Oreochromis niloticus: one gene and its partner. The protein of the gene in region 2 purifies or fractionates together with the protein of the main gene of each other region. This does not show direct contact. Links are inferred from orthologs where the notes say so. Each region holds a gene or a part of one and is shown on either strand. Other genes may lie near its edges.

Region 1 (7,316 bases), on a different chromosome or scaffold from region 2:
AGGCACGGCGGGACCGCAGATCTGTGTTTTGAGCCATCTTTATTCAACATTTGTCACACCACCACAACCCCACCAACCCCTGAGTCCCCATGTTTTAACACGGTGAGCGTGATTGCGGATGCTGTGCAGGTGCATCCGCACGGCACCGCAGTCCACGCCCCACCACATAAACCTACACAGATTTTCATGTTTTTATCTTCTGTGTTCAGCACATCGAGTTTGAGCATAATGAAATGTGCTATGTAACTAAAATTACCATTGCCAACACAAACCCACCACAGCTCTGTTAAAGGAGGAACTGACATTAATCTTTATCAGACACTTCAAATACAGAGAGAAGATAAAAAGGTGATTAAATTCAGCAATGGTTGTACCAGTTCCACATTTTCCTCCTGGCACCAATTACTTACCCTCAGACGGATGTTCAAACCCACAATCCACTATGGCTCTCAGCAGTTCAGGTTTCAATAGAAAGTCTCTGAATCCAGAGGAGTGAATGGACACATAAGAGCCCTTCACCCCCTCCTTTCTTATCGACACGTCACTTGCACCTCCAACATCTCCAGCCCCTCCGGCCTCCACCTCATCATCCTCGTAGTCCAACAGCTCGTTATCTACGTCGTTTTCTGTCATCCTGACCCTGCTGCGAAACGAGAAAAACAAATGTGGTGTATGAAACTTCAGGAACAAAGAGCTTTTAAACTTTCACAGTGCTAAAAGGATCAACATGGCCAAAGTTATAATTATTGGGGTCAGCATGTGTGCAAAAAGGAGCCAGCAGCTTAGACTTCAGGTTTTTTTTCACTCCTGGTTCGGAGACGTCAGTGAGAGCAAATGTCCTTAATCTAGCTATCTCAAGCTCATGCTCTGAGTGCAGCAGCCCAATCCCCCCTCCCAAAGTCAAGTCCTAATCAACTTCATTGTTATTATACTGACAATTAGACATACATCATTAACCCTGGTCTCCAAGTCCCTTGGAAACATGCAGGACATCGTTCCATACAATCCAGTGTATAAATGAATGACATACATGTGCAGCTCATCACTGTTTCAGAGAAGAACCATTTCTATTTTTACCAAACAAACTATAAACAGAGACCAAAATAGTGCAGAGAAGAATAAAAAAGATTCTTCACCCTCCTCAAAAAATACATAAAAATTAGAGAAAAAAGGGGAGAGAAAACAAATACACTGAAAAATGTCAACAATGTTGAGAAATGATGAATTGCTTTTTAGGCGTTTAGAGATAATTACTATGACCTGCTCCAGTTGAAACAGAGCTGTAGAATGGGGGAGAACGCTGATTTAAGTGACTTTGAACACACCTTGATTATTGGCGCCCTGTATCCTAATCTGAGTACTGCAGAAACGTCTCTGCTAAGGTTTTCCCACACAAATCCAGTGTAAACCCTTTGTAGGGTTTACAGAGAATTGTCCAATAAAAGAGAAAATATCCATGGAGTGCTTTGTTGATGTGTGAGGTCAGAGGAGAATGGCCAGACTGCTAAACTGCTTAGCTACTTGCAGACATGCATCATAACAAAACATAAGATAAATGAAGTGGGCTTACAGAGGCAGGAGAGCACACCAGGTGCCAGTCCTGTCCGCTAACAACACAACAGCAAGGCTACAACTTGAACAACATCATCACAACTGGACAACAGAAGCTTGGAAACCGTTGCCTGGTTTGATGAGTCTGCTACAACACTTGCATGGGAGGGTCAGAATTTAGCACAAACAACATGAGTGTAGATAAATACATATTTTATTGATCCCACATGTTTGTGTTACAGCAGCATGATAACAAATATGAGTAAAAATAGTACAGTCTACAATGGATGTGCAGCTGACAAATCTGCAGGAACTGTGTGATGTTATGATGTCCACATGGGCCACAATCTCTGAGAAAATGTTTTCTGCACTCTGTTAAATTGTTGGTACAAAGAATTCAATCAGAACTAAAAAGGTGTACAAAGGTTACAAAGTGTTTTGAGTGAAAGCAGAATACTTAACACCAGGTACTGTCACACTGGTGCCTATCCCAGCTTTCTTAGGGCAAGAGGCAGGGTACATCCTGGACAGGTCGTCAGTCTGTCACAGGGCTAACACATAGACACAGACAACCATTCACACCCATGGGCAATTTAGAGTTTCCAATTAACCTAACCCCACTAACTGCATGTCTTTGGAGTGTGGGAGGAAGCCGGAGTACTCATAGAAAACCCAGGGAGAACATGCAAACTCCACACATAAAGTGGAGTTGCCTGATGGTGGAACTGAATTCAGGACCTTCTTGCTGTGAGGCAACAGTGCTAACAACTGTGCCACCCTGCAAAATTAATTTATATTGCATAAATGCCAGAATAGTGGTGTGTCTAACATGAGGCACCAACTTGTACGGCAGGCTAGAATTTCTATAAGGACTCCAGTGATGTCCACCACCTCAGGTTGAAAACATGAACCAGTCCACTGTGCTAAAAAACAATTGCCTGGTTTCATTTTGAGCTTCTATTTTGAAGGAATATTCCGGAACTTTTATTTTTATTGTCGCTGAATATTAAATAGCTATAACCACACGCGCAGTTATGTTTTGACTTTTGAAAGTTCAAATCCAGCAGTACTGATATGTCTTTAAGATTTCTTCATCACACTGCAGATCATAACCGACATGAAACTACGGTCGCCATAAAACTGGGACCATCCCCGATGTCTGTTATTCACTCGGGCTCGTCTGATATTACGGCAGCTGACGTAAACACAGCGAGTGGCCTTTTTAGCAATAACCGTAAAAGCAAATTCCAAGTATTCTAAACAGCTAGCTGCAATTAGCTCAGCGGCTAACAAAGAACTCATCATATCCTCACTGGAACATCTCACGGCTCAACATTAAACTTCAGAGAGGTGACAGTCATGTTGCCGCAGGTACTGGTAACGTGCACTGCCTACAGTTCTTTTAATAATCGACATACCTTCACTACGAGAGAGAAAAGTCAACGGCTGTTTAAAGTAAAGCGCGACTGTTAGCGCGTCACAATGACGTGTAGAACGCGACAGACAACCAACCGCTGTAGGACCCGACGGTGTGTAACCATGCAGATGTCAGGCTGAAAGTAACAACAGAGAATCTTTGCTATAAACCGCGTCTTGTTTAGATTGCCAATCCTGTGAAGACATTAAACGGTAAATCATCAAAGTCTTTTGTTAAAGCCTAAGGCTGACGACGAAAGCTGAACACAGCGTTAGTTGACAGTTACAGATTTAATCGACTGCACTTCACGTGTTCAAGTGCCACGTGCGGTGTTTTGCTCCAGTGAGTGTTAGACAACAAAACAACATTACCGCTTTAACTTATTTTGGAAGGTAAGCTCTAAAATGTGAATCGACAAAGCAAAATAAGTCAGTCTAAATTTTTATTCGATACTATTTTACAGTTATTGATAATATCAAAATGTATAACAATAATACTTTACATGAAACAGAGATGTCGTGTTTTGGTGGTGGTCCCAACTTCTGCCCAGAGTGTGGGAATGTTCTTCCTCTCCCAGGAATACCGGACGTAGTGTGCTGCCCCGGCTGCTCTTTTAGGATCCCTGTATCAGGTAAATTCCATATCAGAGTTTATGCGAGTGTGAGCATGAGCAGCAGAGATTTTGCTGCTATCTCACTTTTTGTTTTTCTCATTTCACTTCCATCTTGATATTCCTGTGATATTTATACAGCTTGTACAAATGAAACGGCAAAGCAGAGTAGCTATCTGAGAGCTATCTGCTGTCCATCTTTGGATCATTTTAGTTTCTTGCAGCAAGTGATTGTATTTTCCTAAGCTCAATATACAGTATTGTGGCAAAAGAATTCACTCACTCATCCAAATCACTGAATTTGGTGTTTCAATCACTTCCATGGTCACAGGTGTATAAAATCAAGCACCCAGGCATGCAGACCGCCTCTACAAACATTTGTGAAAGTATGGGTTGTTCTCAGGAGCTCAGTGAGTTCCAGCATGGTAATGTGATAGGATGCCACCTGTGCAACAAGTCCAGTCAAGTCCTCAGTACTAAATATTCCAGAGTCAGCTGTTGGTAGTGGTAAGCAAAGCAGAAGTGATCGGAAACGGCAGCAACTCAGCCACAAAGAGGTGGGGCATGTAAAATCAGAGCAGGGTCAGCAGATGTTGAGGCGCACTGAGTGCAGAGGATGGCAACTTTCTCAGAGTCAATCACTACAGACCTCCAGACTTCATGTGGCCTTCAGATTAGATCAGAACAGTGTGTAAAGAGCTTCATGGGATGGGTTTCCATGACCACCAGCTGCATCCAAGCCTTACATCACCAAATGGAATGCAAAGTGCTGGATGCAGTGGTTTAAAGCAGTGGTGGACTCTACAGCAGTGGAGACCTGTTCTCTGGACTGATGAATCACGCCTCTTTTTCTGGCTATCCGATGGATGAGTCTGGGTTTGGTGGTAGCCAGGAGAGCAGTTCTTGTCTGACTGCATTGAGCCAAGTGTAAAGTTTGGTGGAGGGGGGATTATGGTGTGGGGTTGTTTTTAAGGAGTTATTTCCAGTAAAAGGAACTCTTAATGCTTCAGCAAGCCAGACAGACGATGCTGCACAAAGTGCTTAACAATATAAAAATGCCATTAAAAAGAGACAATGTAAAACAATAATAACAATATAAAACAATGATAGGACAATAAAATAATTAAAACAATAACTAAGACTATTAAAATAAGACAAAAATTTTTGGGTCATAGTGTGTTAAAAGCCAGGGCATAAAAAGTAGTGATTTAAATTGATCAAGTGTTTGTGCAGGTCTAATATTTAGGGGGAGACTATTCCAAAGTCTGGGACCTGCCACAGAGAAAGCTCTATCGCCACGAGATTTGAGATCAGTCCGTGGGATGGAAAGCATTAATTTTGAGCTAGACCTCATGGTTTTTCCTGGAGCATAAACAGAAAGGAGCTCAGACAGGTAAGAAGGGGCTCGGACGTTAAGTGACTTTAAAACAAAAAGTAAAAGTTTAAATTGGATCCTGTAGGAGACAGGAAGCCAGTGTAGAGAAGCTAAAACTGGGGTTATATGCTCTCTCCGTTTGGTCCCAGTTAGCAGGCGAGCAGCTGCATTTTGGACCATCTGAAGACAATGAATGGAGTTCTGGTCGAGACCAAAATACAATGAATTGCAGTAGTCCAACCTGCAAGTAAGGAAGAGGCGAATAACACGTTCAAAGACGTTAGCCGGGAAGTATGGCTTTACCTTGGCCAGCTGTCTTAACTGAAAGAATCAGAACTGGACTACTGCACTCACCTGCTTATTCAATTTAAAAGAACCATCAAGGTAGACACCAAGGTTTTTTACATGTGTTTTACAATAGGAGGAAAAGGGGCCTAGAGTGCTATCGATGTGATTATTGACAAAGTTGCCGAAAATGACAACTTAAGTTTTATTTTCATTTAGCTTTAGAAAATTTAACGACATCCACTGTTTGATGTCGTCAAGGCAGCGTAATAAGAGCTGGGGACGGTCAGACCCTGCTTTTAAAGGCAGATAAATCTGCAAATCATCAGCGAAACAGTGGAATGAAATGTTGTAACACGAGAAGATGGAACCCAATGGCAACAAATAGAGTGCAAACAGGGCAGGACCCAAAATAGAGCCTTGAGGTACACCGTATTTAAGAGGGGCTAGTTTGGAGTTATGGGGGCCATATTGACATAAAAAGACCTTCCTGACAAGTAGGACCGAAACCACTGTAGGGCAGATCCCTTTAGGCCAGCATGAAATTCTAGCCGTCATAACAGGATGTCATGGTCGACCGTGTCAAAAGCTGCTGACAGGTCCAACAATAAAAGGGCAGCAGGGCTACCAGAGTCCAGAGTTAAAAGAATATCATTAAAAATCCTTAAAAGTGCCGTCTCAGTGCTATGTAATGATTTAAAACCAGATTGAATTTTTTCAGAAATCACATTCAAATCAAGGTGGGCCTGCAACTGTAAGTAGACCACTTTCTCCAAAACTTTAGACAGTAAAGGAAGCTTTGAGATTGGCCTGTAATTGGACAGAACAGTTGGGTCCAGGTTATTTTTTTTTAAGAAGAGGCTGAACTATTGCTTGTTTAAAGCATGATGGAACACAGCAAGGGACAGATTAATTAATCTCAGGATAAAAGGCCCGACAGTATTAAAAGTGTTTTTAAGCAAACTTGGGGGGAGACAATCAGAGGGGCAGTATGATGATCTTAAGTTACAAACTACCGCACTCAAGTCATTCAGGGAGACAGGATCAAACTGCTCTAAGACAACTGAGCACATAGGAGAAAGACTAGGATCTGAGGCAGCAGTCGACGAGACAAGAGCCTAGGGGTGGGCGGTATAAACGGTATACGGTAGAAACAATATAAATTTGGCCAACAGTAGAGATTTTGACTATACCGCACTACCGCAATAGCGCATGTTGATGGTGTCATCAAGCTGCGTCTGTTTTGGTCGAAAGCATCGCAGCGGCTGCAAACAATATCATCTGCAAATTATGCCAACGACAGTAATAGCAAAGAGATGAAGCACTTTTGGAATATGGGGAAAGCCAAAAACTGCGCTTCCTCCACTTCCGTATCATTGAGTCATTAATGCTGAATTCCCTCGCAGCTGCTCTATTCCCATGTTGTTGCAGTATATTAATGACTAACCTCGTATTGTGGATGGATTATCTCAGTTGTTCTCCTGACTGAAGTTTGGTCCGTTTACAGCATCCTGCCATGGGATTGCATTTGTCCCTAACCATCAGGAACCTTCACGTTAACTTTTATCGAGTGGAAAAAAGTTAGCATTCATCCTTCAGCTTCACTGTGCTAATGTTATGCTAACGTAGCTGTGTTGCTAGCGATCACATAGAAGATCATTATATACCAGCTAGCCCAACTTCAGTAACCCTACAAAAGTCACTGCTGTTGAGTTTCCTGTCTCAACAGGAAATTTATGTCATTTATGTTGGAAGTGATAGCAGAGCTGTACGTTTGAATTTTTTCAGAAATCTCTCAGTCAGAACATGTTATATCATTTTTAGGTGGAAACTAGCGAGCTAACTTCCTGCTAACTTCTAACTCCGTTGAATTTAATAGATTCTGTTTTCATGGATGCCTGGATGTTAAGCTTAATTGTTACACCTGGTAAAGCAGCAACGCTGATCATTTTATTAAAGATGAAAGAATTTACACAGTTTTTAACTCTCAGTGATGCTGCAGTGTTCGTTTGACTTTGGGACCTGAAGGAGACGGAGTTTTGGACCCAGATTTCTCTGCAAGGCTCCTGACTACGGCA
Region 2 (8,229 bases):
TCCCTGCCTGACTCAACCTCCATATTACCTCCACCATAACCCCCCTATTTAATAAGTGAACTGTCTGGTTTGAGCGGCGGGGGCAGGGAGGCCATATCCACGTCGGGAAGCGAGTGACCACCTCTTCAGGAACAGTCCGGACTCCTTCAGGCCCTTGGACGGTGAGGGGAACTCGAGGGGAGAGAGCTGAAACACAAGTGTCACCTGACCATACTGTCTTTTCTCTTTAGGTTATGTGATATGTAGCTGGCACAGTGCAAGAGTACAAAAACAGTTTGGGGTTTGTTTTTTTTTTTGGAGTGACTGGCTTTCTGTAAAGTCTGAATCTCGTGGTGAGTACAGCACTTTGTCAGCCTTCCCCCCCACCATTGTTCCTGCATGTCTGCAGTGAGAGTGAGGGTGGGGGGCGTGAGGAAGTCTTGACTTTTCTGTTTTGTTTTGTTTTTTTGAGGGGGATTATTTTGATTGTCTTTACCTATCAGGTGTAAATTTCCAGGCACTCAGTTCATTTTGGGCCTGCTCCAGTTTGTCTTTAGTCTGTTCCAGTTCAGCCTTCATTTTGAGGAAAAACAAGTTGATGGATGGGTCCACCATGGACGACCGCAGTTGGGCCACGCTCGGCTGCTGGACTTGCTTGAGGTACTGGATCTGCGTCTGCAGGATACAACAAACACATGTGACTGGCAGGAACAAATAAACAAGTGTTTTATCATGGTTCAAGAGAAAATTCTTGGGTTTGGCTCTGATCTCCAGTAGCCGTGTTTTTCCTCTTAAAAAATAAACAAAATGTGTAAAATTGGAAATCGCCATCTTCTGATGGCAACTTTTCTGCTAAAGTTATCTAAAGATGTGGACTCAAACAATTTAAGCATGTTACCTTAGAGCAACACTTGGTACCTACCATCTACAAAGTTTTCAAGACAAAATCTCTAAGTGACAATTACTTCCAATCATTTGACAGTTGCCTTTCCAGGCCCGGGGAGATCAGACTGGTCCAAAACAAATGAAACTCACCTGCCAAAGTTATGATGACATCAACCATTTTTGTTGTTGTTTTTTTGTGTGTGTGTGTGTGTGTGTGTCTCAAACACATTTAGCTTAAAATTCTGGTATTTCTGTTGAAAACTGTGTCCCCATGCTTTCCATTTCAATGTGACTGCAGGGTTTCCAAGTTTAAAGCCTGTGCGTTGAGCTCACCTCAGCTGCACTTTAAGAATGGCATGTGCTACCATAAAGCAGCTGTTTGATCCACTGAGCTGTCAATCTGGCAAGAGCAAAGGATGCCTTGGCTTGAAATAATTTACTTTTAGCCTCTTTTCCATGATCATGACAGTTTACTAAGGAAAGCTCTCTGCTGGAGTGTTGCAAATTATTCAATTCATTTAAATTTAGTAATAAAGTTAAATTATTTTGCACTTTGAAAACTTGTATTATTAAATTTAGAATTTAGCATAATAATTACCCAGTTTTGACATGTTTAATAGCAACCTGTAACATCATTACTCATTCACAAAGTTACTGATGTTCTTTTTGGTGAAATCTTAATGAAAGAAAGCTCATTTAAACATTATGTTAGAAGGGCTATATTCCTATAAGAACTATATCAAGTACTCAAACTGTAGTACTAATGGAAACTGAATGTCAAGCATAATTAGAGGAATAAATACATACTGTGCACTCTTGCATTTCCTGCTCCTTGGTGGCAAGTCGCATGACCAAGATGTTTTCCCTCCGCGCGGATTCCTGCTGCTGCTGCTTGAGCTTTTCCTCCGACTCCTTCAGCCCTGGAACGTCATTGGCTGAGGCGATAAAAGCGGTGCAGAAATGCAAAACATATCAGAAAAATTCCTTTCACTGACTGCCACAGACAGCAGCACCGGGCAAAAACATGGTGATTGTTGAGATGCTGACAAGGTTAAATCATAACCGTGTCTTATAGCAGGTGTACTTACAACATAGCTCCGCATATTTCGCCTCCAAGACCTGGACATAGGCTTCATGCTGTTTCCACCTGTGATGGGCAGAACATGTTTTAGCTGCTCATCCAAAACACAAACACCAAATTCCCCCTACCACAAAATAATCACCAACAGCAGAGCTGTTACCTACCTTGCACACAACTCTTCTCTGGTCAGAGTCTTCATGTCCGATTCACTAAGGCGAACCTGTGTGAACGAAAACCCAAGCACTGGTTACATAAAGAAACCCATTAGAATATTTGGAGGGTGGTGGGCAGGGTCGTGACACATAACAAATTACAAGGGGTACATTAGAATAAGAAAAGAAACTCACTTTCTTGGGTAGAGGCTCCTCGTTGGTCATTGTGAACCCTGTAAGTAAAAACACGACAGGAAATCAGCAGTAATTACAGCTTGGGGTTGTGTGCTTAAAGGACTGCATCATGTTTTAACGCGATGGCTATCAACACGCAGTACAATGTACAGCAACTCTGATAACTCGGTACAAAAGCTGTGCCTTTCAGCTAATAGATGACCCTGATGGTGTGTGAGGAACACATTAACTATCCCGCAAAACCAAATCAAAGTTAATATTAGCAGTTTATAAGAGCAGCCGAGCCTTGTGTTAGCTCGTGTGACAAGCAGCAGCAGCAACGGACCGCGAGAAATGGAAAATATGCTAACCAAGGTTAACACTGGGCTGCTAATAAGGTTTAGCTGTTTCCGTTAGCAAACTAACTACACGTAACGAAACAGCAGTACCGAGCTTCACTATTTCCCTATGTCCAGCCTGGCAGCATACAAGTCTTGGATCTGTTTTCCGCTCCTTGTTATCACAAAATGGCGGTGAAGGAAATGACTCCCTCCCTAGCACTCCTTTTCCTGAAACTAGCGGGCTCTGGGTGGCAGATATCGGGCCTTCAGCCATCAAAGAAAAATCACTTACCAGATCAGTTTCTTTCGATGTTTCTGGATCCTCTTGGTGTCAGGGGTTCTTTGTGAAACGAGAACCTGCGACTTGGTTAAAAATTATGGGGAAGTTATTTGTAGTCGTCTCGCTTCGGCGTGGTCAACAGCATCTTCCTCGCGGTCGACTAAACAGAATGGCTGTAGCTGGGCGCTGCGCTGCACTTGCCTTACTGCAGAGTTCTAGCACAGATAGAGGCAAAGAGCGAGACCTCTCACTCCGCAGCGATTTTAAGATCATAAAATGTACCCCTCAAATAACAGTAAACAGTAGATATTTTTTATGTGATTTTGATGAATTCATCCCCGCATTGCTATTTTTATTGTATTATTTTTAGCCTTAGTTTGTATGAATGGATGTTTTTAATTATTAACTAATGTATTTATGTTAACAAATGTATTTAAATATATACACAGCACAAAGCTCCCCCTTTTGTACTATTGGTAGGAGTAGTTTGAAGAAATACTTTTTTAATTATTATGAGTGTTCATAAACATAATTATTTGAATTAATTCATAAAAGAAATCTAGAGTAGAGAAATCCTTAGTGTGCCTTGACATTAGCCTTTGGTGCATCATCGACTGTGAGTTGTACCGAAACTTGTTTCTGCTGTTGAAGAAAGAAGTGTTTCTTTTTAGGATCTTGAAATGTAGACTTCAAAAAGACTAAAAAATAACTCGAAATTGTGAAATAATAAGCCATATTTTCTTTTTTATTTCTGTTGCAGAAATAACTTCCTGTTGTTCCATGAAGTTGACACTTCTGGTGCATGCTAGAATTGTTCTCAGTTTAGTGTCCACCAGAAGTGACACCGTGTTCTGAATTCAAACCTGAGGGTTTTCCCTTTTAAGCAAGCGTTGTTTGCTTCTTAGTGCGCCATTATTTTAATATAGACGATCTCCGCCATTGCCTCCACTGTTGTGGGGAGAACGTTCACGTGACTCTCTGCTGTTAGTTTTTTTATTTTTTTAATTATGCTTGTATTAATTATGTATTAAGAACTACTCCTTTAAATATATGCTTTGTTTTGCAATAAATAAACAGAGTGAATAGATTTACAATAAATGAAATATACGAGAAGAATTTTTTTTTTTTTTTTTCATAACAGTGATATAATGCACTTTTTTAAAGCTACGGAAAACCTACTAGAGGGAGGAGTTGCAAAATAATACAGAAGGTAAGGAGCTTTGTTTATTATTATTCCAGAGTATCGGGATGCGTTTTTAATACAGTCTCTCTCATCTGCCAAGTGTCTCTAATAATGTGTGTCGTTGTCACATGTAGCCGCTTGACTCCTGTGTTTATCCAATTCCCGGACACCCCCACAGCATAGATGTAATGGTACGGTCGCCTCCTCTGTCAACTTGAAATTGCACATTTCAAGGGCAGTTGTTATCAGCGTGTGTATTCCTTCATTCTGTCCATTGAACAGCATTAGGAACATGCTTTGCAGAGCTGGACAAATACGCAGGTAAGATTGTTGTCACTTGAGTATTTGGTGCGTGTACTGTGCTCAGAGTGCATACGGAATCGGGGCTCTTGACTTCTGCTAGCAGCAGTTGTTCTTGAACGTGACAGTTGCTTATTGATAGCTAGCAGTTAGCTAACCGAAATGCTAACTGGCAGCTCAGCTAGGTTAGCTTATGGCGCACTAAATACAGGGTTTTGTTTATTAAACGCGTAATCATCCTGTTATGAGCTCGTGCATGAAGTTATGAACCGAATGTCTTAATATTGAGCCAGTATCATGTGTTCAGTGAACTAATATGTAGATGACTGTGCTTCAAGAGCTGCATAAATCCAGTATCAACAACAGACATTTAGGTCAGTTGCTTAAGTAAGCTAAAAATCCTACCTCTGATACCCTGCAGGGAAGTAATTTGGTACGGCTTAGTTGCACAGCCCTGTCAATAGCTCCTTAGCAAATTACTCTTTGATAAGAAAACTATAGTTTAAAAGTAGTTCTGTTTGGTACATCTCAATTTCTGTATCCCTAAATAACTGAATTACAGTTTTCTTGCTGATGTCATGACATTTTCATGATGTCATGCCTTATTTCATGCTGTATTACTTCATTATTTCTTTTCAGGTGTGCAGCCAGCCTCAGCCACACTATTAGCAAGGTAGCTGCATCGAGGCAGAAGCATACTCTCCCTGACCTGACATACGACTATGGTGCCCTGGAGCCCTACGTCAGTGCAGAGATCATGCAGCTGCATCACAGCAAGCACCATGCTACATATGTCAACAACCTAAATGTTACAGAAGAGAAGTATCAGGAGGCTCTTGCAAAGGGTATGGGCAGAGTCGCATGATATTTCACTTCACATGACTCTAATTGAAAATGAAGACTTTAAAAGTAGTTGTCTATATGAAGTTGTAATTAAGATTCTGATATGTACGTTACAGTTTTTTTCCTTAAAGATTTTTCCCCCAAACATAAATGTGTAAGAGTTTGACAGAAGCTGTATGTTGTGTATATTTGACTTACATTTTTAGGAGACGTGACAACACAGGTTGCTCTCCAGCCTGCCCTCAAGTTTAATGGAGGCGGCCACATTAACCACACCATCTTCTGGACAAATCTCTCTCCAAATGGTGGAGGTGAACCACAAGGTAAGACAGAGAAATCCACAAAAATACAAAAAACGGTATATGACCAGACTAAGACAACTCATGGCCAATCAACTTGTTTGTCTTTAATCAGATCACTTGGTTTTTCTCTGAGACATGCTGACTCTTATTGAATGTGCAACTTAATTTTATGACTTGCTGAAAAGTTGATTCATATGGTTGCAGAGTTTTTTTAGTGTTACATAATGACTGAAAATTGCACCATTTCCTAATAACTGGCTTAAAGCTCAGTTTTGTTAATATGGAAATTGTCATGAAATTTGATCAGTGGCCATGAGTACTATTCAGAGTTGGGGGAATGGTTGCAGTCACCGAATTGTATCATCACTTGGATAAGTGCAACATTTCTTTCACTGAAAACACTCCAACCAAGAAATTTATGTGTTGTGCCATTTCACTGAAGCATACACATCTGTTTGACAACTTTGTAGGAGAGCTAATGGAGGCAATCAAACGGGACTTTGGCTCCTTTCAGAAGATGAAAGAGAAGATGTCTGCTGTTACGGTGGCTGTACAGGGCTCAGGCTGGGGGTGGCTTGGCTTTGACAAGGACAGTGGAAGACTTCGCATTGCTGCTTGTGCTAACCAGGATCCTTTGCAGGGGACAACAGGTCAGTTGGACTTTTTGTGATTTGGTGCATATAAATAAAACTAAATTGAATAAATGCGACTTGGCCATCTAACTGCCACATGGCCTTTTTGTATGTATTTTTTTGGCACTTAGGTCTCACTCCCCTCCTTGGTATTGATGTATGGGAGCATGCTTACTACCTTCAATACAAGAATGTGCGACCTGACTATGTGAAGGCTATCTGGAATGTAGTCAACTGGGAGAACGTGAGTGAGCGTCTTCAGATGGCCAAAAAGTAGAAGCTGATGCACAGCAACCACTAAGACTTGGATCAAACAGTAGTTGCCTGCATTGAATCAGAATTTAAAAAATCAGACTTATGACAGTTCAAACCTTCAGACGTAACTGGCATTTAAACTGTCTTTAAAATAATTTTGGGTTTTGTTTTTTTTGGTACATATATTGTACGTGAAAAAGCTGAAGCTAGCGGGCAAGTACTGTTTATCTCTGGTCTGTTCTCAACCGCTAGTAATTTTGAAAGCGCACAATAATGGACAACTTTAACATCAAAGCTGGCTTTTGCCATTCTCACATCTTATGAGTGGCATACCAGGTGTAAGATAACACGAGTGCATATTCAGATAGCTGTCTCAGTCAGGTTAAGCCACACTAAAATCAGACAATGTTATTGCAGTCCTTGTATTTGCTGTATGATAATAAAAATCAGAAATTGTAATAAAACAGTTGTAAAAGCTTGATTCTTCTTCTTTCTTTCCTTTTTTCATTACCTGTAAGATTCTAAAATTTCACTTTTTTTTTTTCTTTTTTTTTTCTCCCCCCCCCTCTAAGCTATAAGAGAAGCTGGAGTTAAAAATGCAGTTCTATACTTTATTTAGTTTAAATCCTCATGGCCCCATTATAGGGCAGTGTTGAATACTGGTCACTGAGGCTCATGTTTTCAAATGCGTTTTAGCTCAGTTGGTGTTAAAAGATGGATGTCAACATTGTATTGTGTGTAGGTTTTATTTTTTTTCTCCTCTCCTGTCTAATACTTTAAAGTTTCACCCAAGATGAGTTCAGTCCAATCAAGATTTAAATCCAGGCATTAAGTACCTTGATTTCTTAACAAAGGTCACATAAACCTCACGATTCTGTCAAGCTGAAAAATCTTAGGTTTTATGCCTACATCTGGTCATACTGCTGCTATTTACAATGTTCCCAGAAGAGGGCAGTGTTCCCTTAACATTTGTGCTTAGGCTCCTGCTGTGTATACAGGACTGTGCAAACTAATTTACAAAGAGCCAAATCTTTGTGGGTTTTGGTTCAATGAAAACTGGACAGGATGACTACTATCTGAAATTCATGTGAGTAGGGACAAAAACAAAACAAAGCCACTTGCTCTTGACGGAAATTTAATCAGAAATGGTCTCAGTGGAAGGATGGCTTTCCATGGGGAGAAAACACTGAGGTAATTAAAGATTAAAGACCTGTACAACAGTAAGTGTCTACAGCCATCTGTAAAACAGTGGAGGCTCTATCATGGTTGGAGCTTCAGTCAGTGGTGTTGGAGATCTTATCAAGACTGATGGAATTATAAATGCAGAAAAGACAGATTTTGATCCACCGTGCACTGCCACCTGGAAAGCATCTGATTGGCAATGGCTTCATTTTTCAGCATGACAATGATCCCAAACACACTACCAATATAGTAAAAGCATAGCTGGATAGGAAAACACACAATCAGTCATGCATTGGCCTCCCCAGAGCACAGACCTCAACATTATTGAAGCATTGTAGAGTGATCCTGACAGAGAACAGAACAAAAGGCAGCCAGCATCCAAACAAGAGCTTTCCTTCAAAAAGTCTGGAGAACTTTTCCTGAAGACTAAAGAAATGACAAGAAAACATGGCAAAGAGAGTTCAGACCACTTTAAAGACTAAAGGTGATCACACCAAATATGAACTTTTAATAGAATTGAAATGTACCAACTCTGTTCTTGCTTTATATACAATAAAATTGCACTCATTTCCTATTTCACAAATGAAATATACAGAAAATATACACTGTATATGTATATATATTTAGAGATGCTTGATAA

Evidence for each region.
Region 1: the proteins of wtap (region 2) and ddx39b purify together in Homo sapiens (affinity purification with mass spectrometry; 3 studies listed by BioGRID and IntAct, with this or other methods). This does not show direct contact. The link is inferred for Oreochromis niloticus from reciprocal best matches to the Homo sapiens genes WTAP and DDX39B.

What each region holds. Positions count from the first base shown.
Region 1 is NC_031985.2:37,864,378-37,871,693, reverse strand, and holds the start of ddx39b (DEAD (Asp-Glu-Ala-Asp) box polypeptide 39B), read right to left. Parts: upstream 3,104-7,316; 5' UTR 2,970-3,103; intron 644-2,969; 5' UTR 634-643; coding exon 411-633; intron 1-410. Other genes in the region: polr1h (DNA-directed RNA polymerase I subunit RPA12), read left to right, coding at 3,482-3,599. UniProt on the Homo sapiens protein: Involved in nuclear export of spliced and unspliced mRNA. Component of the TREX complex which is thought to couple mRNA transcription, processing and nuclear export, and specifically associates with spliced mRNA and not with unspliced pre-mRNA.
Region 2 is NC_031980.2:12,346,464-12,354,692, reverse strand, and holds the start of wtap (pre-mRNA-splicing regulator WTAP), read right to left. Parts: upstream 3,110-8,229; 5' UTR 2,905-3,109; intron 2,331-2,904; 5' UTR 2,323-2,330; coding exon 2,293-2,322; intron 2,166-2,292; coding exon 2,110-2,165; intron 2,012-2,109; coding exon 1,953-2,011; intron 1,800-1,952; coding exon 1,672-1,799; intron 655-1,671; coding exon 476-654; intron 1-475. Other genes in the region: sod2 (superoxide dismutase [Mn], mitochondrial), read left to right, coding at 4,368-4,396, 5,015-5,220, 5,425-5,541, 5,991-6,170, 6,284-6,429. UniProt on the Homo sapiens protein: Associated component of the WMM complex, a complex that mediates N6-methyladenosine (m6A) methylation of RNAs, a modification that plays a role in the efficiency of mRNA splicing and RNA processing.